3 linked regions of the Lepisosteus oculatus genome follow. Each later gene encodes a partner of the first gene's protein in a complex. Links are inferred from orthologs where the notes say so. Each region holds a gene or a part of one and is shown in the gene's direction. Other genes may lie near its edges.

Evidence for each region.
Region 2: rbm10 (region 1) and kat2b share a complex: the UniProt entries of both Homo sapiens proteins name them as parts of the large chromatin remodeling complex. The link is inferred for Lepisosteus oculatus from reciprocal best matches to the Homo sapiens genes RBM10 and KAT2B.
Region 3: rbm10 (region 1) and mysm1 share a complex: the UniProt entries of both Homo sapiens proteins name them as parts of the large chromatin remodeling complex. The link is inferred for Lepisosteus oculatus from reciprocal best matches to the Homo sapiens genes RBM10 and MYSM1.

Annotation. Positions count from the first base shown.
Region 1 is NC_090697.1:77,941,213-77,949,356, reverse strand, and holds the start of rbm10 (RNA-binding protein 10), read left to right. Parts: upstream 1-4,779; 5' UTR 4,780-4,902; intron 4,903-5,633; 5' UTR 5,634-5,690; coding exon 5,691-5,707; intron 5,708-5,972; exon of another isoform or gene 5,973-6,139; coding exon 6,140-6,581; intron 6,582-6,765; coding exon 6,766-6,969; intron 6,970-7,313; coding exon 7,314-7,383; intron 7,384-8,144. Other genes in the region: rhoac (rho-related GTP-binding protein RhoA-C), read left to right, coding at 1-105. UniProt on the Homo sapiens protein: Binds to ssRNA containing the consensus sequence 5'-AGGUAA-3'. May be involved in post-transcriptional processing, most probably in mRNA splicing. Binds to RNA homopolymers, with a preference for poly(G) and poly(U) and little for poly(A).
Region 2 is NC_090705.1:30,066,791-30,075,027, forward strand, and holds the start of kat2b (histone acetyltransferase KAT2B), read left to right. Parts: upstream 1-4,776; 5' UTR 4,777-5,025; coding exon 5,026-5,226; intron 5,227-7,456; coding exon 7,457-7,583; intron 7,584-8,237. Other genes in the region: protein phosphatase 2C-like domain-containing protein 1, read right to left, coding at 917-1,548, 2,539-3,406. UniProt on the Homo sapiens protein: Functions as a histone acetyltransferase (HAT) to promote transcriptional activation. Has significant histone acetyltransferase activity with core histones (H3 and H4), and also with nucleosome core particles.
Region 3 is NC_090704.1:17,917,232-17,924,728, reverse strand, and holds the start of mysm1 (histone H2A deubiquitinase MYSM1), read left to right. Parts: upstream 1-4,036; 5' UTR 4,037-4,042; coding exon 4,043-4,101; intron 4,102-4,868; exon of another isoform or gene 4,869-4,874; coding exon of another isoform or gene 4,875-4,885; coding exon 4,886-4,964; intron 4,965-5,433; coding exon 5,434-5,504; intron 5,505-5,729; coding exon 5,730-5,804; intron 5,805-6,327; coding exon 6,328-6,400; intron 6,401-6,667; coding exon 6,668-6,766; intron 6,767-7,303; coding exon 7,304-7,497. Other genes in the region: uncharacterized protein, read left to right, coding at 366-564, 1,405-1,850. UniProt on the Homo sapiens protein: Metalloprotease with deubiquitinase activity that plays important regulator roles in hematopoietic stem cell function, blood cell production and immune response.

The DNA of each region.
Region 1 (8,144 bases):
TCAGCCAAGACAAAGGACGGGGTGCGGGAGGTGTTCGAGATGGCCACCAGGGCGGCGCTGCAGGCCAAGAAGCGCGGGAAGAAGAACGCCTGCCTTTTATTATAGAGGAGAGGAAAAAGTGAAGAGGGAGAAAGAAAACCAGGCCAAGGAAAATGTACCAGCAAGAACCCCCTTCTGCCCCCCAGCTTCCTCCTCCATCGCTGTCCTGCCCCACTCCAGGTATGAGCTCATGCCTCCGCATCCGATCCTGCTCTAGCGCCAAACCAGAGGATCGTCTCTCCAGGAACAGCCTCCCTCTCCCAGATGGACAGTTGCCTTGGCTGATGAGAGGGGCTCCCTCACAGGCAGGCTGGACACAGAAGCAGTGACTTGGTTTTCTTCAAAGGCTCGCCCTTAGTTTTAAACACTTGGCTTCAAAACAATTACATCTGCAGTGTTGTGTCATCGACAGAGAAAAGGTCCCCTGGAAACAAATGTCTATATAATGTTTTAAGTTTTGTTCCTCATGTCATCGTTTGTAGCCAAAATATTTCTGTGGCACTCATGGAAGTTGCTTACTGGGCTTTTCCTCAAAGCTGACGACATGTCAGCTGCGCTCCAAGATACAGTGTTCCTGTTGCTAACGCAGCTGTTACTCTGGATAGGTATGGGGAAGAGGGCATTGTTTGAATGCTGTCTCTAGCGGCGGACTGGGTGACGAATGTTGTGCGAAACTGACAGGTGACGTCCCTTGGCAGTGTTAGTGGCAGAGGATGCTGTATCTTGAGTTGTGGATAAGTGTTTAAATTAACATTTCGCCATAAGTCCTCAGTCTTTTTTTCATCTGCAGTGTGGGACTAGTATTGTTTCGGTCATTACTGCCAGGGGCCCGCAGTGTAGACTGGTGGATCTGCATGTGCTCCTTGTTTCTGCCCCACTGTGTCTGTAGCACTGAAGCTCCTTCCTCATGGCATCTTCCTGCTCCTGTCTGGTTCAATTCCACAAATCTGTCTCATAGAAGCAGAGATACTGTTTTAAGAGCTTCAGCCACATGTAAAAATGACGACTATAAAGGATTTTGAACATTAACAGATGGGTTGTTAATAAGACTGAGTTTGTGTTGTTTAAAACTGGGGGTAACCCCCCTCTCCTCTTACCCACTGCTTCCCCTCCAAGCTGGGCAGGGCCTGCAACCAGTGCAACATCCTGGCATGAGGTGCCTGTCTGGCAGCCTGGTGTGAAGAAGCATAGCAGCGTATTTTAAAAGGACTCTTCGCAAACATTCCTGCCACCTCTGTCCTCCTTCACCACCTGTAGACCACTGCAGCAAGTTGTGACCTGCCACTCTGTCAGGCTCCCTGTAGTCTGTAGCTTGTGAGCAGGCCCCACCCCTGGGTCTCGCCATACACAGTGGCCCCTCGCTGGAGCGCGCCGAGCTGGTGTGTCAGCGGTGTCCGGAGGATCCTTCCTCACCATCTGTTCCATTGAATCGCCCCTCGGAGTCGTTCAAGTCAGTCTGAGCCACTGTCCCTGTAACCCCGGTGGGTTTGTGTTCTTGCTAATCCTTTGAAAGGGTCCCAGGATTGCATCTGGGATTTGAAAAGAGGGTTGAAAAAGGAAATAAGCTGGCGATTTTAATTCACGATTTAAACCCTGCCACAAAAAGATAAATGACACTGGACTCAGTCTGTAGCCCTGGGGTCACCCTCATTTCCTCCCAGAATATTGACAGTGATAGCTCTGTGTGAAAGGGCTGGGGGAGAGGGTTAATTGTTTGAGAATAGCAAATGATATGGGAATCTTGATAAAATCAGCCATGTGAACAGCGAAGGAAATAGGATCCCACTTGATAAACAGTAAAGGGGGCTGCATTGTCAGACTACAGAGGGTAATCCTGATGGAGATTCCAGTCTGGACAGTCTGGAGAGCTGGAAGACTGTGTCACACATTTGAGTTAAGTGTTGTGACTTGAATGACCTGTTTTACACATATTGTAAGACTTCTACCTAATGGGTGACTAGATATCCCTGCAGCAGTGGGTGAAAAACTGCGTACAGGTCCACAGTGCACAATGCATGAGCTTTTCAGCATGAAAGGAGGTGAGAGGGTTTTTCAACTGCCCATATCTATCTATATATATATATGCATACAATATTACATATATATGTAATATTCTAGATTTTGGCTTTTTCCTTTTGGGACTGGATAAGATGTATTCACACCTGGTTTTGTTTTGCTTAGCCTACTTTCCTTTAAGGCCTTTGTGCTGACTGATGACGAGTTTCTGAGTACTGGTGAAAGCCAACACAGAACTTGGCAAATGTGCAGTTCAAACCCATCAGGATTGCAGTCGGCCTTTGTTAAGGAGTCTTTAAGGATTTCCAAAGAGGGGGGTTGACCTGCACATTTGCTCAGCGTCCTCCATTCGAAAATAAATGTCCTGTGTCCAAGTGATGGAGTCCACAGGGATGGAAGGTTAACTGAAAAATGCGGTGCTGAAACTTCTCACTGCGTTTCTTTGGGAATATGAAAACCTACCTAATTTATAAAGTCTGAAGTAAGTCAAGGTTTTTTAAACCGGTCCTGGTCACATTTTCCTGTCTGTGCTGGCCCAGGGGACGTGAAGGGGGCAAGTGTTCAGCTTCCTCTAGCTCTCACACGTACAAACCCTGCGCCTCCTTCCTTTTTTTCTGCTCTTGTACTGTATATTTAACCCTGTGTGGAATTCTACTGGCTTGTACTGTATCAGTAATACCCTCTTGCAATTCTAGAATCTTACCTTAAAAATGTAAAAAAGGAAAAACTAAATATTATATTAAAAGTACTTCTTTTTAAAATAAAGTCACGAGAGAAAAAGAATCTGCCGCATATAACTTTACCTTTTGTACAAATGCATCTTGGAATTTCCTCAGTCTGCTTTTAAAACTACTTTAAATAAAAATTGTTTTTAGGGTACTGAGTTTGTGCAGTGTCCTCTTTGATGCGCACTTGGACAGGGGCAGAAGACTGATCACAGTTATGGTCATGTCCTCCAGCAGCTCAAACACAGTTGCTCATGCTTGCACACACAGAGCTGAGATACACACTTGTTCAGTGACGCACGCCACGTGCATAAAGCTCAGATACACGCTTGTTCAGGGATGCACACTGCGTGTACAGAGCCGAGATACACGCTTGTTCAGGGATGCACACTACGTATACAGAGCCGAGATACACGCTTGTTCAGGGATGCACATTGCGTGTACAGAGCTCAGATACACGCTTGTACAGGGCGGCTGTTCCTTCACAGGCAATCACGCATCTGCGCAAATCATCCAAAGGTGTTTTTGCTTTAAAAAAATTTAAGCAAACAGTATGTCCAATTAAAATCAAGAGAACTGTAATCATTGTTTTTTTTTCTAATTATCCAAAAGGTTTGCTTTATTAACAAATTTGTGTATTTTGTCTTTAATAGAAGGAAAACGTCAGCCAATGACTCTGCACAGAGAACAAAGTGTTGCAATTTGGCTCTAGAATGGTCAGACACGTTGCCAAACCAAACTGGTATAGAATTCCCTCAGTAATAACTCCATAACCCTGAATGAGAATGGCCCAGGAAACATTGAGACATTTTTCAGTTGACACAGGAAATACAATCTCTGGTGCACTTCCATTGTGATGCTCAAAACATATGTATCCCATTTGAGGATGTTAGCAATAGTACTGCTAGAATATTGAAAGACACCACATGTTGAAGACATTCAATCATTGCAGTGATTTCTAATTCCCTCACTGCTGGTGCAGAACAGCTGCTGGGTGTCGCCAAGGTGGGGATTCACTTGAGTGGCGAGTTAAGTGAGTCCACTAAATATGTGTAAAAATTAAATCTTCTGGGGGTTTGGGTTCCAGGAACAGGTTTTAGTTATTTTCAGTTTGGAAACCACATCAAACATAAAAACAACGAAGTGCCATTCGGGGATCTATAACAAAGTTCTCCTTTAATTCACAGTCTACTATTATCATTCTTACAAGATGTAATCCTGTAGAACTCCACTCTTCAAACAAAACAGCTCCCTACACACACCACGAACCTTTGTGCTTCGCATATCCCCCCTCTTAAGAACCGCCCCTGTTGCTGCATTAAATACCAAACCTTAATTAAATAACTTGCTTCTTAAATGAACACTACAAATCCCAGTCCTACACTTGTAAAGTGCTTTGAGACACTGTGGGATGAAAATGCATTACAGATTTACATTGAACATGAGATGAATAATGGTATTAAGATCCCAACTCTAAAAGGTCACATCCGTTCAGGAGCCTGAAATTTACAGGAAGGACCGTGAACAGTGCAGAATAGTGACTGCTGTCTTCGTCAACAGGTTTAACTAGCTCTACATTCTCTGCGTGCACTTTGTTCACTTCCAGGTTACTGCAGTACAAGCACTGGGTGCGCTTTATTTTTTTAGCCTGCCAGGCCAACTTTCCTCAGTCATACAGACCCGCATCAAGCCCTGCGCGCTGCGACATCGGCCTTCCTGTACAAGAAGACGGCTTCACCTCTAACCACTCAGAGGGCTCGAAAAAGCTGTCACGTAGAAGCAGAGCCAATCAATAACGAGAGGCGGACTTTCCTTTTCTTGGCCTATGGTGTCCGCGGAACTCTTAAAGGGAAATGTCAGATCCAATAGGAAAGCGGCGCTGTGGACGCCCCGCCTGAGAAAAATGTTGATTGATAAGGCTCTTACCCAATCATATGTTTTATAGGAATGGACCCAAAGTTTTTGGACCAATCAGCTGCAGCAGTCCGCCTACCAAGCTCCGCCCCGGTAGATGGCCATTTTGTTTTGGACGTAGAGCGAGACGGTTTTTCCAACATTTCTAAAAACATGTTTGTTTATTCATAACTTTAACCCTTGGCGTTTCGGAACAATCTTTCAGAAGGTATGATTTCTGTTCCTTTGACGAGATTTTTCATTCTAATCGGCTCTCCTTTTCGAGCAGCGAGTTAAAATAACGCTGTGTTTGGAGACCCCGGAGGTGCTGTTTACGCAGGTAGACGTTGGTCTCGTTTATAACTGACAAATCCCGTTAAAATGTTTTTTTTTAAACCGAAACCGCCGTTTTCCTCATGTCAACAAGCGCGACAGAATTGGTTAACGCTGTATTTCTGAATCGCAGCGAAAGAAATGATTCCGCTCTCTTCTAATGTCGGTAGTTCAGTGTTGTTCAGCGGTGTCAGTGTGTTGCAGCGCCATTGAAAGCGCCGATACTGTGGTCAGCACCTGTGTGCCGGGGCTCTGGACGCGTACACTTCACCTCCGGGGATCGATGGGATGTAGCTTCACCGACCGATTGACCGACTGTTTCTTCAGTAGCGTCTCTGCTTCTCATGGGCTGCCGGTTAGCTGCTGGGACCCAGGCGGCCCGGAGAGCTGCGCGGCCTCGGTTGTCCCCTCCTGTCGGTTACATGTCGTATAAACGAGCACGGCGTGGTCACGCCTCTTGAGCTCGGATCTGAAAGACTTGGCGACGGGGGTGAGCTGGGTTGATTAGCCTGCAGGAGACGCGTGTGACCCGAGCCTCTAGCTCCCGGTGACAGAGGCGGACTCGTGTGTCCGGGTCTTCTGCAGGGCGTGGTGCTGGTCCAAATGACTCCTCTCTCTCCCCCTCAGGCCAGCGAACCTGGTGCGGGGTGCCGAGCTGTCTGTGTGCCAGGTGGCCGGAGCGGGATGGACTACGAGAGGCGGTAAGATGATGAGGGTAACAGCTGCAAACACACCTGGAGGGACGCAGCGCAGGATTGGAAGGAAGTTCTGCCTGCACAGCCAGGGGCCCGGCTGTCTGCTCGTGTTATTAATGCCAGTGAGCAGTTAGAGAACTAACTGTGCTTCTTACTAGATTAGTCTTCGCCAAGGTCCTTAAGCAGAAGACTGATTGCATTATACAGCACATAGAAGCCTGGGCTGGTGGTTAAAATAAAGAGTTTGCTCTCGTTATCGTCACGTCTGTAGCCAGGTCACTGTGATATCGCGTGCTGAGCTGGTGTCTGTGCGAAGAAGTCTTCTCTTCTGACTTGGAGACCAGCTGAACTGAAACCCGCCGGAGCGGCTCCCGTGGGCTCGGACCGGTCTCCGCCGCGCGGCCGCGCTCTCACCTGCTGCCTCTCCTGTGCCCGCAGGGGCGGGCGGGGGGACCGCCTGGGCCGCTACGGCAGCGACCTCCAGGACCACGACTACCGGGACATGGACTACCGGGCCTACGGGCGGGACGAGCCCGCGGGCCTGGGCTTCGAGCCGCTGGAGCAGGAGGAGCCCCCCTTCCCCCGCGAGGACAGGGGGTTCCGCCGGGCCGAGGACTTCCAGCGCTTCCGCAGGGAGGAGCGCGCCCACGAGTGCGAGCTGCTCGGCAGCGAGTACGAGCCCTTCGAGCCCCAGGAGCGGCCCAGGGAGTACGAGCCTCGCAGGAGGGGCTTCCGGCCCTACGGCCGGCCGGGGGGCTCCGCAGCGGAGTACGGCACCTCGGAGCTGGAGGAGGAGAGCTACAGCGGACCCCCTGCGCAGGAGGAGTATGGCGATCTGCACCCCGAGGACCCCGAGTTTCAGGGCCCGGACGACCAGCAGGTGAGGTCTAGGTCCAGCGTTAACGCGGCACGGGCAGGTGACCAGGTCACCCTAGACGTTCAGCTCTTCCGCAGACTGCTGCAGCTGTTCTCGACGTGCGGCACGGGCTTCAAATGTAAGCTTAGCGACTGAAGTGCGAATGAATTCATTGTGAGCTTGTCGTGTGTAAATCTGTACCTGGCAGGAGTTCCCAGAGGCTGCCGTCTCCGGCCTGGCGGGGGGCCGGGGATCCGAGGGGTACCACGCCCGTGATGCTCTGGAGGAGTCGGCGGGCTTCCCTCCTGACCCGGACTTCCGGGACCAGGACTACCGCGCCGACTCGGGCGAGCAGAAAGCCAGCAACATCATCATGCTGAGGATGCTGCCTCCTGTCGCCACTGTCAACGAGGTAAGCAGCCCCGCGCTGTAGGACGTCTCTCCCCAGCAGCGCCGTCAGCAGGCAGTGTCTGGGGATGCAGATGTTGATTAAGTACCACAGAGGATCTGATTCTCCCTTTTTTCTTTTTCTTGTCTCTTGTTCTTTTCTCGTTCGTTTTTTAATTAGACACTGTAGTGTCCACCGCGAGGTGTATGTGATCTCTTTTTGGTCTCCGATTTGTTTCCATCTCCTCCCCTCTGGGGCTGGGATTTAAATACGAGGATTTAATTCTTTACAGTTTGATGTTAATAATGCTGTCCGTGTCTGGGGTCAGGATCTGCCTTCATCCCTCTGCCTCCCCTCTGTTGTTGCAGATCCGCTCCCACCTGCAGGAGCAGGGCATCCAGCCCAGGGAGGTCCGGCTCATGAGGAACAAGGCATCAGGTGAGCCTGCACTCCACAGGGTCTCCCCTCCTCCCCCCGCCCTCTGCTTCCCCTCCTCCATTCTTTGTGCTGCTTTCCCCGGGAGGCTGGGCTGCCTCTGTCTGTACACCAAGCCACACGGGATCCGTCCCCAAGACGGGCCTGGTTCACACCTCCCCACACACCCTCAGACAGCAGAGCACACAATCGCCCCCCAGCAAGGGCATAGGAGCTCTCCTCCCAGCAGGAGAGACCCCATCGTAAGTATGCCCGAGCACCTCGGTGTCTGTGTGGTCGCGGTGTTGCTGCAGTGTGTATCTCGCCCTGGTCTACAGAAGAAAGACCTTCCTCTCCACCGTCTCTGGGGGAGCCTGAGAAGTCAGTGATAGTTTCTATTGCATGTAGGTACAGAAGGCGGGGACTAAAAGAAGGACCAATTTCTTTAAACCATTCCATTGAGATGCTTTAGCATTAGGAAACTCATCAGAATCAGCATAGTTTCGAAGCCTGATCTGCTCGTATCTTAAGTGGCTTTGCACGACTGTGTCTGGTCTGTTCTGAGACTGCATCTGTAGAAAATAATTTCTTGAACTGGCAGGTATTTCTGTTCCTACTGGTCACAGATTTCCAGTGGTGATCAAGGCAATGTGCTATAGAAAATGTCTTTTTTTCCAGTTCTATTTGAAATACAAATCGCAGAACTACAGCAAAACTCCAGTTCAGGATTCTCCCTCTGGCCGGCTTGTGTTGGTGCCTCCGGCTTGCAGGCTGTACAGTGACCT
Region 2 (8,237 bases), on another chromosome or scaffold:
CTATTCTTGATTTGTTTTCAGCACACCTCAAGATATTAGGAGAACCAATTACTTCAGCAGGTCTTTTGAAGTCGTTTGTCATGCCTTGCACTAACAATGCTCATCGATACTTCTTGTCATTATTACAGCTGGTGTGTTATAAATAATATACTGTAAATAGGGTGTTGCAATGTAGTCTACTTTTCAGTATACAACTTACTGGACTAATGCTTGCTAGGGAGTTGTTTAGATAATCATACAAACTGTACAGTAACTGAAATGGTTCTATTAAGGGTTCGGAGTTTTTCCACAAATGGTTAAATTATAATCAGTGGTGATCTTTATAAATGTATGTAGTGTTATTAACAAAATGAACTTGCATTTCCTTAGTGGTTTGTCTTGTACTTTCTCATTTCTCTGTTTATATTTTTAACATTTCTTTCGCATTGCACTAAATATTTTAGTGGTAAGACAATGATGCCCCATACGATATTATACCTAGTAGAAACTGAAATCAGCTATGTTGGAATCATAATTCTGCTTAAGCAAGACGGGTAACTGAACTGATAAGTAGCTGGCAGTCATTTTTAACAACAGAAATGTAATAATGTAACTCAATAATGGTTAAGGACTGATCAGTTCTAATGTTCAGGTACTAGATTATGAATAAATAAGTTAATAAACAGGGATATATTGTATACTTATTGCTGTGAATATTAAATGCAGCTCACATCTAAATGCAAGCAATTTACCATATTGTTTAATTCCTAAATAAAAATTAATTTGGTCATGCTATACTGATTGAATAATGGAACAGTGACAGTTCTCAAATGGTCTCAAATCTGTCCCAGACAGTTTATTCACTGAAGAAAGTGTTTGTGCCATACATCATTTTATTGCAGTGGTGTTGAATATTATAAGCCTTTTTATACATTTTTTATACATCTAATCCAGGCAGAAGTACTGTTATCACTGATAAGTTTTCCTTTGCCCCTGAATTTACTGCTGTTTCAACAATTTTTTTACTAATGGAAACTGCCAAGTTTTCATAGTCTGTCTTGGTTTTGAAATGCTTTTCAGTTTTAGTCCTTACACAATTTGAGGGTTTTTCTGTTTGGAAGCAGTCTTGTGTTTCTTTGCCCAAAGTCCCACTTTCATCTGTTTTGTTCTCGAGTTGTGCCTGATTTGGTGTCCTTTCTCTGTCTTGGTTTGGGTTGCAAGGTGTTTCCGCTAGAGAAGAAAAATCCATGGCAATTGCTGCAACATCATCTTCATCCAAGACATCCCAAATCCCACTTGTAGCTAAAATCATTGCCTGAAAAGTGTCATCTATTGGTAAAGATACAGAATATGGCACAGGAATGACTGACTTCTTCAGTTGCAGGTCCCCGTGATGACCAAGCCCACGGGTTGCACTCATCAGACCTTCTACAAGTCCGTGCTGCTTGTTTACACTTATTTTCCCGCCAGCTTTCAGAACACGTCTTCTTTCCTTTGGGTTGGAAGTACTGTGGTCTTTTGTCAGCCGATGTCCTTTCCCATTCTTGCACAAAACTGCATGTGTGTTGCCTAACATCACAAACTTCATTAAATTTTTCATAAAAGCTATTCAAACTTGTACACGCCATGTTAATTTTAATCAGGCACTATGGGTGCATTATGAATTCCTTTGGTGTTCTATTTACAGACTCTAAAGTCTGAAGGTTTATTGTACTACTCACTACAATTTAAAGGGCTTTATGCACGCAGTTGAAACCCTAGCTTGACCTCTTGCCCTATGATCCTGTAAGAAGTAAGGCCATATCGCCCTACAGCTTACAACTGGCAACCCACTGAAGGTAAGCAGGTGAGAGCCTGGTCAGTACCTGGATGAGAGACCCCCTGGGAAAAACTAAAAGATTGTTGCTGGAAGTGGTGTTACTGGGGTCAGTAGGGCGCTCAGCCTGTAGCCTGTGTGGGCCCTAGTGCCCCAGTATAGTGATGGGGACACTAAACTGTAAAAAGGTGCCCTCCTTCAGATGAGACGTAAAACTGAGGTCCTGACTCTTTCTGGTCATTAAAAATCCCTCTCTTGAAAAGAGCAGGGGTGTAACCCTGTTGTCCTGGCCAAATTTCCCATCGGCCTTTACCAAGTATGGCTTCCTAATAATCCCCATCTATGAATTGGCTTCATCGCTCTTTTCAACTCCCCACTGAGAGCTGATGTATGGTGAGCGTACCGGCGTGATATCAACACTATCATCATCCAGGTGGATGCTGCACATTGGCGGTGGAGGAGGAGAGTCCCCATTACGTGTAAAGTGCTTTGAGTGGAGTGTCCAGAAAAGCGCTATTTAAGTGTAAGCAATTAGTGTTACTATAGGTAAGAGAATGGAATTCTCTACAATTGTTTGAATTAGCCACACTGCCCATGTTTTAAGCTAAAACATTTGCTTTTTGCCATAGCAAATTACTTGATGTTGTGTTAATTGCTGTACTTAATATTGGCATAGTATGTCAGAGGCCAGGTTAATGCTCATTAAAAGTCTATCAATTGCATAACATGAAAAACATACTTACCACAATTGGCAATGTGTATTTTTCCCATAGTATTTTTTTGATCTTGTGATGTAAAATGATTTCTGTTTTTGCAGCCTCCTGCTTGGTGCAGTTCTGCATTTTTTCTGTCTTGCATTGGGCCTTCAATTAAGCAAATTAAGGCTGTACATCCACTCCACCGAATCTTAGAAGTTTCATTTCGACCCAAGCCTAGAATCCGGTCCATTTTGCGAAAAGCCTTGGCAAAGGCCATATGCACTCTTTCGTCATGACTCAAGTCTTCCACTTGCAAATATGAAAAAGGTGGTATTTGATCTGCATTGCTTTTGCAGTCTTCTTGAAATATTGTTTCAAAGCTTTCCAATAAGTTAATATCCTCTCCAGTTAAGGAATATGTTGATAAACATTTTGAAAGTTGTTCAAGAACAATGACTGGGAGTTCTTTAGAAGTTATATCAGCTGCATATCTACCATGAAACCCGTCACAAAGGCCTATTATGAAGTATGCACCTTTATCACTTCCATAGCGCTCAATGAATATAGACATGTCTTCCATTTCTTGTTTCCATACAGCGTTTTTATCTTCACATGATGCTACAGCTTTAATTACAGGATGATTTACTTTGAATGTAGTCACACAACATCCCGTTTTGTGTTTGTAGTTAATTGCGTCAGTGGAATCTTCTGTCGTACAGGCTTGCTTTACATTTTTATTTGAAGAAGTGACATGAGCTTTAAAAGTTAACTCGTGATTTTTTTCCACAGCTACAGGTATACCTTCTTTTGTCTTATTAGAAGTACCTTCTTTTAGAATGTGTTTATCTTCATCAAATGATCTGCTCTGGTCCTGCGAGTGATGTATGCTAGGGATTGGTACAAAATGGTACATTATTGACAGCTTTTTACTTTTTCAGATCACTATAGAAGTTGTATTTTGTCGAACAGTGTTTTTATACATTATCTCTCTAGGTGGCTTACACTCTTAGCAGTGAACATTAAGCCCTCCACCAACAATCTCCAACTAAATAAAATCAAGAAATGACATACCTTAGCTTTAAATCGGTTTCCATGAAGAGAGCTGTGAAATATTTCAGCCAGGCTTTACCTTAAAGTTGAGGCAACATAAGCTGTTTACAAGTTGTACCATGGAAACTGTGACCTTGGAAACTAAAGTTACTGTGACCAGAAAATTAAGGGTAGGCCCCAGCTTGAATCATGAATATGCAATTACAGTAGGTAAATCCCTTTTCCATGTTAAGCTTCAGTGTTCTTTTTCAATAATTTAGTAGTTTGATTTTCACTTTCATAGTTTATGTGCTAAAGAATGTATTTAAATGTACTTCAATTCACAGGGCTTGGTAATTTTCTTTGCATACTTAAAGCAAATAAGTTTTAATGCAATTATTTTCTTTTAAAAAAGTTTGTAGGATGGTTTATTTATTCAAAGCTTCAAAAGTACTGGGTTTGTCCAAATAATTTTGCTGTTTTGGTATCCACAAAACATCCTTCATCACTGTGTTCTGCAGAGAACCAAATTACATTACAAATGTGAAACATGAAATGCAGCCTGAACATGTGTCAAATAAATCTCAAATAGCAAGTCATTTGTCATGGACAAAAAACAAATTGTGTGGCCTTTTACATAAACTGTATGGCTTCTTTAAATAGTAATGAGTCAACTATTATTCTTTCATCTCATTGAAAACAAAGCAAGCCGGTTACTCAACAAAATGTAATTGCTTTGAAATATTTGAATGCACTTCCACCTTATTGGGCACAAGTGTGTAATAGTGCTTAGGGTCTCAAACTCCAGATGGAGAGGTTGTAGGTTTAAATCTTTGGTGGGAAGCTGCTGTTGTAATCTTGAGCAAGGTACTTAAATTGTTCCTGTAGATGCCCTGATGTATAAATGGATCCTCTACAGCTCAGTGGAAATGAATTGGATCAATAGGAAATAAAAAAGTTTTGAAGTGACTTAGCTGGTTAAATAATTAAATTAAATTGTCCTTTAGACCTGCAATTTATAATGTAAGTTACCAAAATAAAATAATTTGTGAATCCCTTTACTTTGACCTTTAAGAGATGAAGGATCTCATATGACTGATTAAACACCCAGGAGCAATGCCAATGCTGACAGGCATGAATATCATTAGTGCTGACAGTTTCAGTGGTATGATTTGTATACATATATTAAATACCCAGTGAGCATTCTCAGAAATACTATGCTCACTTTCTGTAGTGGTTAGAGAGTTTCAAATTAGGTAACTGATCTCCATTACTCTGCTTGACGTAATCCATTTGACCTTGAAATTATTGCCACAACAGGCTGCATGTCTGTGACCTCTTTAAATATTTGCAGGATGCCAATTTTGTCTCCCCCTAGTGAGGGCATGCGGAGATTACAATGACAAAAAATAGGGATGAGCGCCATGTCTGATCCTACAGTTGTGGAATAGAGAGATACACATCCAGCGGCTTGGGGAGTCCGTTTCGGGCTCGCTATTTAGGATGTCGGAGAGCAGCGGGCTGCAGCAGGGCTCCCCAGCTGTGGGGGCGGCGGGCTTGGCCCCTGCTGCTCCCGGGGGAGGAGGGACGGAGTGTTCGGGCGCTGCTGCGGGATCTGCTGGTATCGCCGTGAAGAAGGCGCAGCTTCGCTCCGCTCCGCGGCCGAAGAAGCTGGAGAAACTCGGAGTCTATTCCTCTTGCAAGGTACATAGGTCAGATCTAACAGTTCCAATCTGATGCGCTTCTGTAGAGTGCAACCACAGCGTAGGGATTTTCCTCAAGAAAGTTGCATATTTAAACAATGAGGAAATGTGACTCGTTTCTGTTAGAAATTGTACCTGCAGGTAATGAAAAAGTACAGTATGGGTGTACTGTACATCGTAAAATCACTAAATAATGGTCTGCACTCATTGTTTGGAGGGGAAAAAGTGGACGTAAACACACTTGGCTCGGTGTCAAATATTCCGTATTTCGAGTAATGGGCAGTAAATGTTGCAATGTTTTCTCGGATAATATGGAATCAGTTGTCTATATACGTTAATGGAATTGTTGCTTGTTGTGAAACGTGTAACTTATTTTTTGATAATCGTCGTCTTTGCTCAGAACCAGCCTCTTTGTTTTGACAGTATGACAGCTGCTGGTAGGCGGAGTTTGGTTTTGTTCCTCAGTGCACGTTTGCTGCGAATAGCTGTGGCAGCAAAAAACGTCTTGAGTTGTACTACACACAGAGCTCGGGCTTGCAGAAGAGCTTGTTTTGATATCACTAGTGGTCACATGCAGCATTGCAATAACTTTCTGCTGCACCGATGACACCAAAACTTAACTTTTCTTTCAGAACAATTTCCTTTTTTTTCTTCTCTGTTATTTTCTGCTCTTAGCTGTGATTCATGTATTATTATTTTTTTTTAGATGTAAGCTAAGGCTGTTAGTCCGTTTTGTACTGCATAGACTAGCATAGTATTAGTATAACACTGAACCATTTTATTATATTTCTGTAACATTACACAAATTCAGTGCTAAACAAGAAGAAACCTTGCCATTATAAAAGTTCCTCTTGCTTAAATTTTATTCTCTTCTGACAAGTAGACTCCTTCGTTGTGTCAGTTTGCAAGTGTTTAAAAACTGAAATTAAGCCGATTGACACAGAACAAAAACAAGTTTAGCTCTTAGGCCGGGGATAATTAACTCTGTCACTTCAATTCCATGCTATTGTGAGACTTTAAACCTTTCAATAAATTAATTCCTGAGTTGCTATTTGATTTTCTAGTCCAGGTTCTGAAGAGTATCTTGATAAATCAGAATTCGCTGGAGAAAAGGAATTGGATGGAAATGCCAATGTCGAGTACTCCTGCTTCAGATCGTGGGTTTGCAGGACCCCGACCACACACCTACCGGTTTTCATTCCAGTCAAGCTTAGTTACCTAAACTAAAATCTTTATTTGCTTACAAAATGCAGTAGTTAAAAGGCATCCTTTAACATGTTTAAGAGCTGAAAACAGTCAAACACTTCAAATTATTCTAATTATTAAGTAAATTAAGGGTTTAATCTTGTAACTGAGAGCTTGGCAACAACAAAAACCAACACGTACAGGTATGTGGTCTTTCAAGACCACCATAGGCAATCCTTGTCTTTTAGATCAGTTGTTCCCGGTGCTGTTCTGAGGGGACAATAACATCTGCTGGTTTTCATTTCAGCTGGCCCTCAATGTAATCACCAGTGCTAACTGGTGCCTGTACCTGAGCTCCTGGCATCTTTAGACATTTTCGACCCAGGTGTGTCAAAGCCCTAGTTAAACTGTATGAATACATTAAAGGTTATTAGAGTAGTCTCTTTTCCGCTCTCTCATTATGATTTTCTTTCTTTCAACTAATAAACATGGTCAATTCATGAGAAACAGACACAGGTGGCCATCACATTGAATTAAACATTTTCACAATGACTGTTTTTGCCTTCTACTTAAGTTACATATCAGCTAACATAATGAATGAGTTCTGAGATGTAGGTATTGGTGCAGGTTTGATATTACGAACATTAAAAATCTTTTTTAAGAGCTGAGAGAAAATTGAAAAGTACGCCTGAAATTAAAATCAATTTGCCTAAGAACTTGCCTGAAGCACAGACCAGAAGACAAAATGGCCCTCCGGGGAAGAGTACTTAAATAATTAATTTCATTTCCCAGCACCCCTTAGATTCCTTTATATTCAAAATATTGATTTATCTGGAGCCAAGCTGAGATCTGTGTGTATTATAGCTTTCATTTGCCACAATGGTTTAAAATAACACAAACGTTTTATTTGTATGCAACTACAAATGGGGAAAAAAAAAGATTCAGATCAATAGCTCGGGAGAAATACATGGCATTTAAGAACAAAGTCATCCATTTGTATTTTCTAGTCCAGCTATTCATGAAGTGCCCATTCCTGTATATTGCAGGCTGAAGAGTCCTGTAAATGTAATGGATGGAAGAGCCAAAATCCACCCCCAACTCCTCCCCGGGTGGATTTGCAGCAGATAACTGTCAGCCTCACTGAGCCCTGCCGCAGTTGCGGTCACTTACTGGGTAAGCAATTGTAGGACTTGTAAAGAATTACCCAAGGGAGTGTTGGATAGTTTGAATTTTTTTAAAGACACAGGTGTAGAATGCTTTAGGTGTTCTATAGTTGGACATGAAGTTTAATGTAGTACCTCTTTCACTTCCTGTGTCTTTTTTCTATATCCTTTTCTTTTTTGTAGGAGTAGCATTCATACTGTTTTGTTGTGTTAACATGTCATAGTATAAAAAAATAGGATTTGCCAGAGGTATAAAATAGAACTTCAGTGGACTCTGCTGAGAAGCTTTTCAACCTCTGTTTTATTATGTCCTGTTTTGAAAGGGGGTAGATTAAGAGAAAAATATTGAAAGAGGTCCTAACACAGTATGAATATTTCCACTATACAGAGCCAGTAAGAAAATACTCCCTGAGATGGAGAAGGGTGAGGTAGCCATTTAGAAATTCCCAATGAGCAATGATTACGGAGTGGTGGTGCAGGTATTTCTCTAAAAGTTTATTTTTAAAAATAAAAATCACTTTACAGTTCCACTATTCTTTACTATTAGTCACATGAAAGAAAACAAAATGCTTCTGCTCATCGTATGGCACATGAACTCAGGAACATTCCAAAATGAAACAAAGTTTCAGACATGAGTGCTTAGCACTAAAAGTTATGTAAGTGA
Region 3 (7,497 bases), on another chromosome or scaffold:
GCTATGTATTTGGTCCTATGGTTTCCATGTGTTATGCAGATTACTGATACACTTCAGTGTTGAATATTTGAGATGACTAATACAGTGAGGTCTTGTTATGACAATGATTTAAGTCTTGAACAGAGAAGACACAAAGGCTTGAGGGCACAAGTGGAGGCTATAGAAAAATGAATTGAGTTGGAAACAGGAGGTGCTCTTTACACAAAGAATGGCAATTCTTTGGAACAAACTGCACTGCAGTGCTGTTGAAGCAGGGAGATTGGGAATGTACTAGAAGCCAAACAGGCATGATGGGGGAAATGGCCTTAATTTCTTTGTAACATTTCATGTGTTCTTTTATAATAGAACTGTTCTTTGTCTTGCAGCAGTCCCAGCTCTCTCACTACCCTGAGAGGAAGATTGCAGAGTTTCAGCAGCAGATAGAGGGGCTGCGGAAGGAATATAAGAGTTACCTCCACAAGCTCCGGGTCCTAGATCCGTCCTGCAAACACCAGCCCTGGAATCCCCGAGGCTACACTAAAAGGAAACGGCCACAGGATGGGGTACCATGTCCTAGCCAAGCAGGTAGATCTGTCTGTCCTCCTGTGTGATGCATTGAAGTACATTTGCTTGCATTTCACATTTTTAAAGTCTCCAGCAGATATGTATCCTTAATGATTTCTGAAGTTATTTCAAAATCATGTCTGTTTTTGTGATGGATAAACTATCACTGCTGTAAGTTTTGACATCCCCCATCTCCAGTAATCCCTTTTACTGATTTATAAATAATGTAATAATTATTTTAATAAAGAATAACATATTTATAAATAAATACATAATTCATAAAGATGACTTATTTGACTGTATCAACCCATGTTTTATGAACAGTCATCTTCGTAAGTGGTAATTAAAGCCTCTAGTGAATTAAAAAAAGACAGTGGGTCTTGACTTGCAAAGAGTTGCAAAAAGAAGTACTACCTCCCTTTGTATTATGTTAATTTATTATAAATTTCAACTTTTCATAAATTTAGAAGAGGTATCACTTTGGACTACTTTGGACTTCTAGTTTTACCATCAATATTTATTAAACTTCATAACGTTTGGAGGTGATACGTCTGAGATTGATGGCTCTGAGATGTCATTTTTGTTGACAAAATTACTTGTTTTGTACGAAGAACAAAAGTGTTTTGTGATTACTATAAGCTCACCATCAGAAATCATGTAGTATTTTATTAATATATTTATTTCAAACATGAAGTACCAGCACATTTCTTTCAAACATGGGGTTATTTTGAAGTATCAGCTCTAACATGTAGCACTGAAAACTGTTACATTTTAATCCACAGTTACTTTAGGAAGCTATTACCTTTTACTAAGTAGTGTGTATACATTAAATTAAAATTAAAAAGAATTATTTTTTCTCAGAGTCTGGGGGCTTTAAAAGGTTATGTACTCCTGTGCTGTCAGAACCAGGATCCCAGAGTGATGAGTCAGACAGTGATGATGAAGAGGAGAGCAAGGTGACACAAGCTCCAGAGAAAGAGAAGAGTTGTACTCTTGTACTCACTTCCCCTGTGGCAGACCTACCCAGCCAAGACCAGCCTCTCTGCTTCAACCACAGCAAGATGGCTGTGAAGGTTTCTGGGCAACGTGCCACACTAGATGATCAGAACTTAGACAGTCTGGCAAGGGTTCTGTTTACAGGGCTTCCGAACCTTCAAAGCTGCTCCATGGCCCAGAATTCTGCAGCCCAGAACTGTCTTCCCAAAAATTCAGAGGCATTGGAGCTCAGTACGTCCCACCTGCCTGCCGAACACAAGCCACATGTTCTGGGTCTTGACTGCTACTCCTCCTCAGAAGAGGACACATAGGGTATTACTGGAACACAGAAGGGAGTTCAGCTGATGGCACCACACAAAAGTGACCTCGTTGTTGGAAATATCCGACAGGTTGGGGAAGTAGCAGAGAAATCTGTTCATATTTGTCTCATGTGACACTGGTAGGGGAGTATTTCTCCATAAGGAGTTATTCACAAGCTCTGTATTTCTGCCTTCATAGAGTAAACTGTTTCTCTTTTGGCTTTTAAACTAAAAATGTGATCCAGCTATACAGAAAAGCAGGTAATTTAAGGAGTTTAAAATTACCCATCAGGACTTCTTTAAGGCTTCACTGAAAATTAGCTGGTGTAAATTTAACTGGCAAATTATAGACTTAAGAAAGTTACTTTTAGACTTCTTCCAGACTTCAAAGTTTCTGTAATGGATTAGGAAATGTAAAATTAAGGCAGGATTTAAAATAGATAATTTTGGAATATTTGTACTATGAGAATTTTCATTGAATTGTTTAAAACTGAATATAAAAACATTTTGTAAATAATAACGTGTATTATGTTTCATACTCTTATCTCATTCAAGTGTTTATGAGTTGTTTATGTCAGTTATTGTTAGTAACTTTAATAAAAACTTTATTTTTGGAAGAAATTAAATTGAGAGACTGACTTATATAATACCCTTTTCCCTTTTAACACAAAGGTACCTGTAATTGTTTACCAACACTAAAAATGTCTTAATTACTTTGTATTATCAATAATAATAATAATGGCTTACACTTATATAGGGCTTTTCTGGACACTCCACTCAAAGTGTTTTACAGGTAATGGGGACTCTCCTCTATCACCACCAATGTGCAACATCCACCTGGATGATGCGTCAGCAGCCATAGTGCACCAGAACACTCACCACACATCAGCTATCAGTGTGGAGGAGAGTAAAGTAATGAAGCCAATTCATAGAGGGGGATTATAAGGAGGCTATGATTGATAAGGGCCAATGGGAAATTTGGCCAGGACGTCGGGCTTACACTCCTACTCTTTTCGAGAAACACCCTGGGATTTTTAATGGCCACAGAGAGTCAGGACCTCGGTTTTACATCTCACTGTTTACAGTATAGTGTCCCTGTCACTACATTGGGGCATTAGGACCCACATGGGTGAGCGGCCCCGCTGGCCCCGCTGGCCCCGCTAACACCTCTTCCAGCAGCAACCTTAGTTTTTCCCAGGAGGCCTCCCATCCAGGTACTGACCAGGCTCAAACCTGCTGAGCTTCAGTGGGTTGCCAGTTGTGAGTTGCAGGGTGATATGGCTGCTGGCCATATAACAACATAGGAATAGTTACAATCCAGAGGAAGCCATTATACACTTCTAACATGTTTGATTGCTAGTAGTAATTACATTACACATTACATTACATTACATTAAGCTTATTATCCCAAAGGTCTCATCCACACATTTTTTAATAGAAGCCAGGGTATTATGCTTCAAAATATACCTTTTTTATAAATACATCACCCTAGATGTTGTAATGGGATCAGAGTGATTATTTTCTTTTAAAATGACTTCATACTTCAGAAATTGATTAGGGAGTTGCAAAGCAAAATTGAAATAGCATACAAAAATTAGCTGATTATTGAAAATGAAAAGCAAAACTCCAGTTCCTTAATTTCGCTTTTGCTACACTAAATATGGAAACACCTGGTGATGGGTATTAATAACAGGTATCTACTATAGCACCAGTAACCACTAAATTTATATGTGTTCTCCAATTGTAATTTTGTTATAAAACTAAGAGTAGCAATGTAATTATTATTTTTGGACCCAAAAAATTCAGTGGTTTAAATTAAGTTTGATAAAAAACTGAATTTGACTACACAAAATGTAATCATGTTTCTCTTACAAGTTGTCAAACAATTGTGCATAAAACTTGTCACATTCAAAAGGGCATCCTTTTAGACTTTTAGACAGTTGTCAACAGTTTTGTGAAAAGAATGGGGTTATAGAATCACACAAATCGGGAACTTTAATATTCAGTATAAGCTCGATCAAAAAATATATTTTTATACTTTCATAACATTATTTAGATAAATGTTTTAAAAATGAAATATATCAAATATAAATAACGACATTAACTGGAGGTCTTCCACTCAGCAGATGTCGCTACAGAGAAAAACTTCGTCCTTTGAGCGACCTGTCACTTCTCTTTGTTGCTAGTGCTGAGTTTTAGAGAACATGGCGGAGGAGCTGGATGTTGTTGATATTGAGGGTGATGAATCTGAGTTGAATTTGAGGTAATGTGATGGAACAGTGTGTCTGTAATGTCTTACACAGTGTCAGTTGATTCAGAGTTTGACAGGAGTACTTTTACGAAATTTCTGTTTTTTTTAAAGGTCTCAGTACTTAACATATTGAAATGAATGGCGAAATGTCGAGAGTAAAATCCGTAATGTGAGTGTTAGATAAGTCAGATATTATAGATTTATGTTAATTTGAATAAACATTTATGTTGTTTTCTATATATTTTTTTCACATACCTTGTGGACTCGCTTTTTCCTTTCAGATCTTCAGCTATATAGAAATAGAACCTTTAGAGTGTCAGAATGTTTCTCCTAAAGATATTGCTACATCTGTTTTAGTAATACCGATGTAAAAGTATAAACAAGAAGACCTCGGGTATAACAGACCGTTTCAAATGTACGAGCAAGTTGTGTTGGAGAGCTAATCGTGCTATCCTGCCACCTTTGTCAGGAGGCTTCGTCTTCTCAGTAAACGCTTAGCATCTAATGAACGAAAAGTTACAAACGAGAGGAGACCATCTAGAACTAACTCAAGTTATCTAAAATTTGAAGAACATGAAGACCTTTTCCAAAAATATTTTTGATGCCACTTTAAGCCTATTCCCATGAGTAGTCTCAGAGATCTGACCTGTTGTCTTCGACATAAACTTTAATATTATAATACCGTACTTAGTGCAGTGTGGATTAAGTACGCACTAAACATGGCTGTGTTTAACAGCCATGTTTTGACATGGATACTATTTGAAATCTTTCTGTGATAGCCTGAAATGTATTTCAGAGACCCTGATGCTGGATCTGCTAGATTCTTGCAAGACCAGTATTTACAGTCATCATGGAGGACAGACAGTGGGTTGATAGTAAGTGGATGCATTTACAATGTAGTAATTTGCATTTGCAATTCAAACCTTCCTACATGACTGCATTGCTAACATTGTTTCTATTGTCATGCTTATGTGACATGTCTGGTGACATTTTATTTTGTCCACACTTTACAGCAGGAAAACAGAATACATCATGGAGTAAAAGCTCCTTCTTTCAATCTCTCCACAAGAGGCAGTTACAACCAAATGATGTCTCTTGCTCAATAACTTTCAGTTCAATTTGCTTTCATTTTGGTTTAAAGTTTCTGGAAACAAAATCTTCACTTAGGTTGTAACAGGTGGATAAGCAAGGTGGAAGAGATTGATATAACAGCATTCATACTCAGCTCTTGGTCTGCAGCTTTGAGGAAGCTCAAAGCTTTTGCCTGCTTGGTGTTATGTGAGTAGAAGTCTTTACACATTAGGTTTCACATTTAACATTAGGTTCTGCTCCTAACTCCCTTAGCCCTGGGCCTTGGACAGCTCCATCAGTGCTGAGAATAGAGCAGCTATTGAGAACATGCTGCTTGAAGAGGAGTATCCTTTTTTTGTTTCTGGACTGACTTAAAATGTGAACTCTTCTAGCAGGAAGAATCAGTGCAGCATAGACATAGTTGAGAAGTGTATATATATATATTTGTTTTCACCTCTTCTTGATTTTATTATTTCATTATATAAGTTAACACAGTTGAGAAATGCTATTAATCAAAGGCAGTCATCTCCAATGCAGTGATCTGACAGTTTTTCTTAAAAAGGTTTAAGATATTATCTAACAGGTAAGGAGCTTCCCAAGAACACCTGGACTGGTGACAAGCAAATGACCGAAAAAGTAAAGAAGTGAGTTTATCAACTTGATTTTATAACTCCGATAATAATTTCTTAATGTTATTATTTAGATATTAAGTCAGATCAGCTGTTTTAATGCTGAATTATTTGGTAAATTAAGACTACCCTTGAATTTTGCAGTTCTCTAGGTGTACAGGACTGACATTTCCTTTCATTTACGTCATTTATGACACTAAATATGATAAATTCTAAACGTATGTATCTTTATAAATACACATTCTTTTGCAGTCCCTAATATACATTTGCGGTAATCCTGTCTTATGATTTTGGCTATGTTTAATATTTGTACATATATTTACATAAATACAAGTTTTATATATAAACACAATACCTATTTTCTTAATACCTATTTTTTCTGTAAAAACATTTCTTATAAATAAATGTTTGTTCTGAAAGATGCTTCTTTTTTGTTTTGAATGGATCTATACTGTTGGCTATAGATAGAGTCAATAGAGTTTGTTTTAATTATTTTTGGTTTTCTTTTTTTTAAATTCTTTTGAAAAAATCCTTATAGGTCTCCAATTAAATCGGGTACTCAAACTGTTCGCTGGGCACAGCAGGAAAAGGATCTTTTTGAAAAAGGACTGGTAATAAATTTACTTTGACAAATTATACTGGCTATTGCACTGTGTATAACATCTGGATTTTTTATCATTTAGCATTTTTTTTATTTGTTTCTGTTTCTATAAAGATTTATGTTTATGTTTTTATAACATTATCACCAAAGATAGTTTTGTAGCTAGTACAGCTTAAAGTGTGGAAACAAATCCTAATAGTCTGTAATTTGAACTATAAGTGTAATAGATGTTGAACAGCATTAAAGATATTTCCCTCCTGTCTTTTTGATGTTTCAGACACAGTTTGGTCGAAGATGGACCAAGATAGCAAAAATGATTGGCAGTCGCAGTGTTTTGCAGGTGAAGAGCTATGCAAGGCAGTACTTTAAAAAGATGGTATGTCCTGAGTGTAAATAATAAAACAGAACCTTATCACAGTGAAGAACATTTATAACATTTGCTGTTCTTTCATTGTTGAGGTAATGAGCAATTACTGTATAAGCATGCTAAGGACAAGCAGGAATTTCAGAGTTTTTGCTGTTGTCAGATCTCAGAAGTTAAGCAAGGCTAGGACTGGTCAGGGAGAACATTTTGGTCACCAGTAGTTGGTACTCTTCGCATCCTGAACCTGCCTATTTGGTAATTAAAGTATTGGCCTTCATTTTTGATGAAGTGGGATACTTTCCTATGTGTGAAATGCTTCTGGATCCTTTAAAATTTAGAAGATACGGATCTTGGAAAGTATTTCATAAATACAATAAATTGTAATTATTTTATTAAGATATGCTAGATTATTACAGTATCGTGATTCTAGAACCAGTTATGTACCATTTTTGTCTGTGCATCTTTAGGACAGGGAAATGAGCGTAAGAAATTATATAACTTAAAAGGAAAATGCAGAGAGGGCTCATCGTCTTTTCAATATCTTCACAGACAAAGACTGAAAATTCCCTCAAACAGAGTTCAGGCGCTTCTATTCAGGATTCATCAAATGGCGATGTGGTAGGCAATAAGCCCAACTCCTTGAGGGCTGTGGAGAACCAAATTGTTGCCCTGCCTAATGCAGTCAGAATTGAGAGATTGTCAGATGATGAAGATGTGGATATCACTGATGACACAGATCAGGA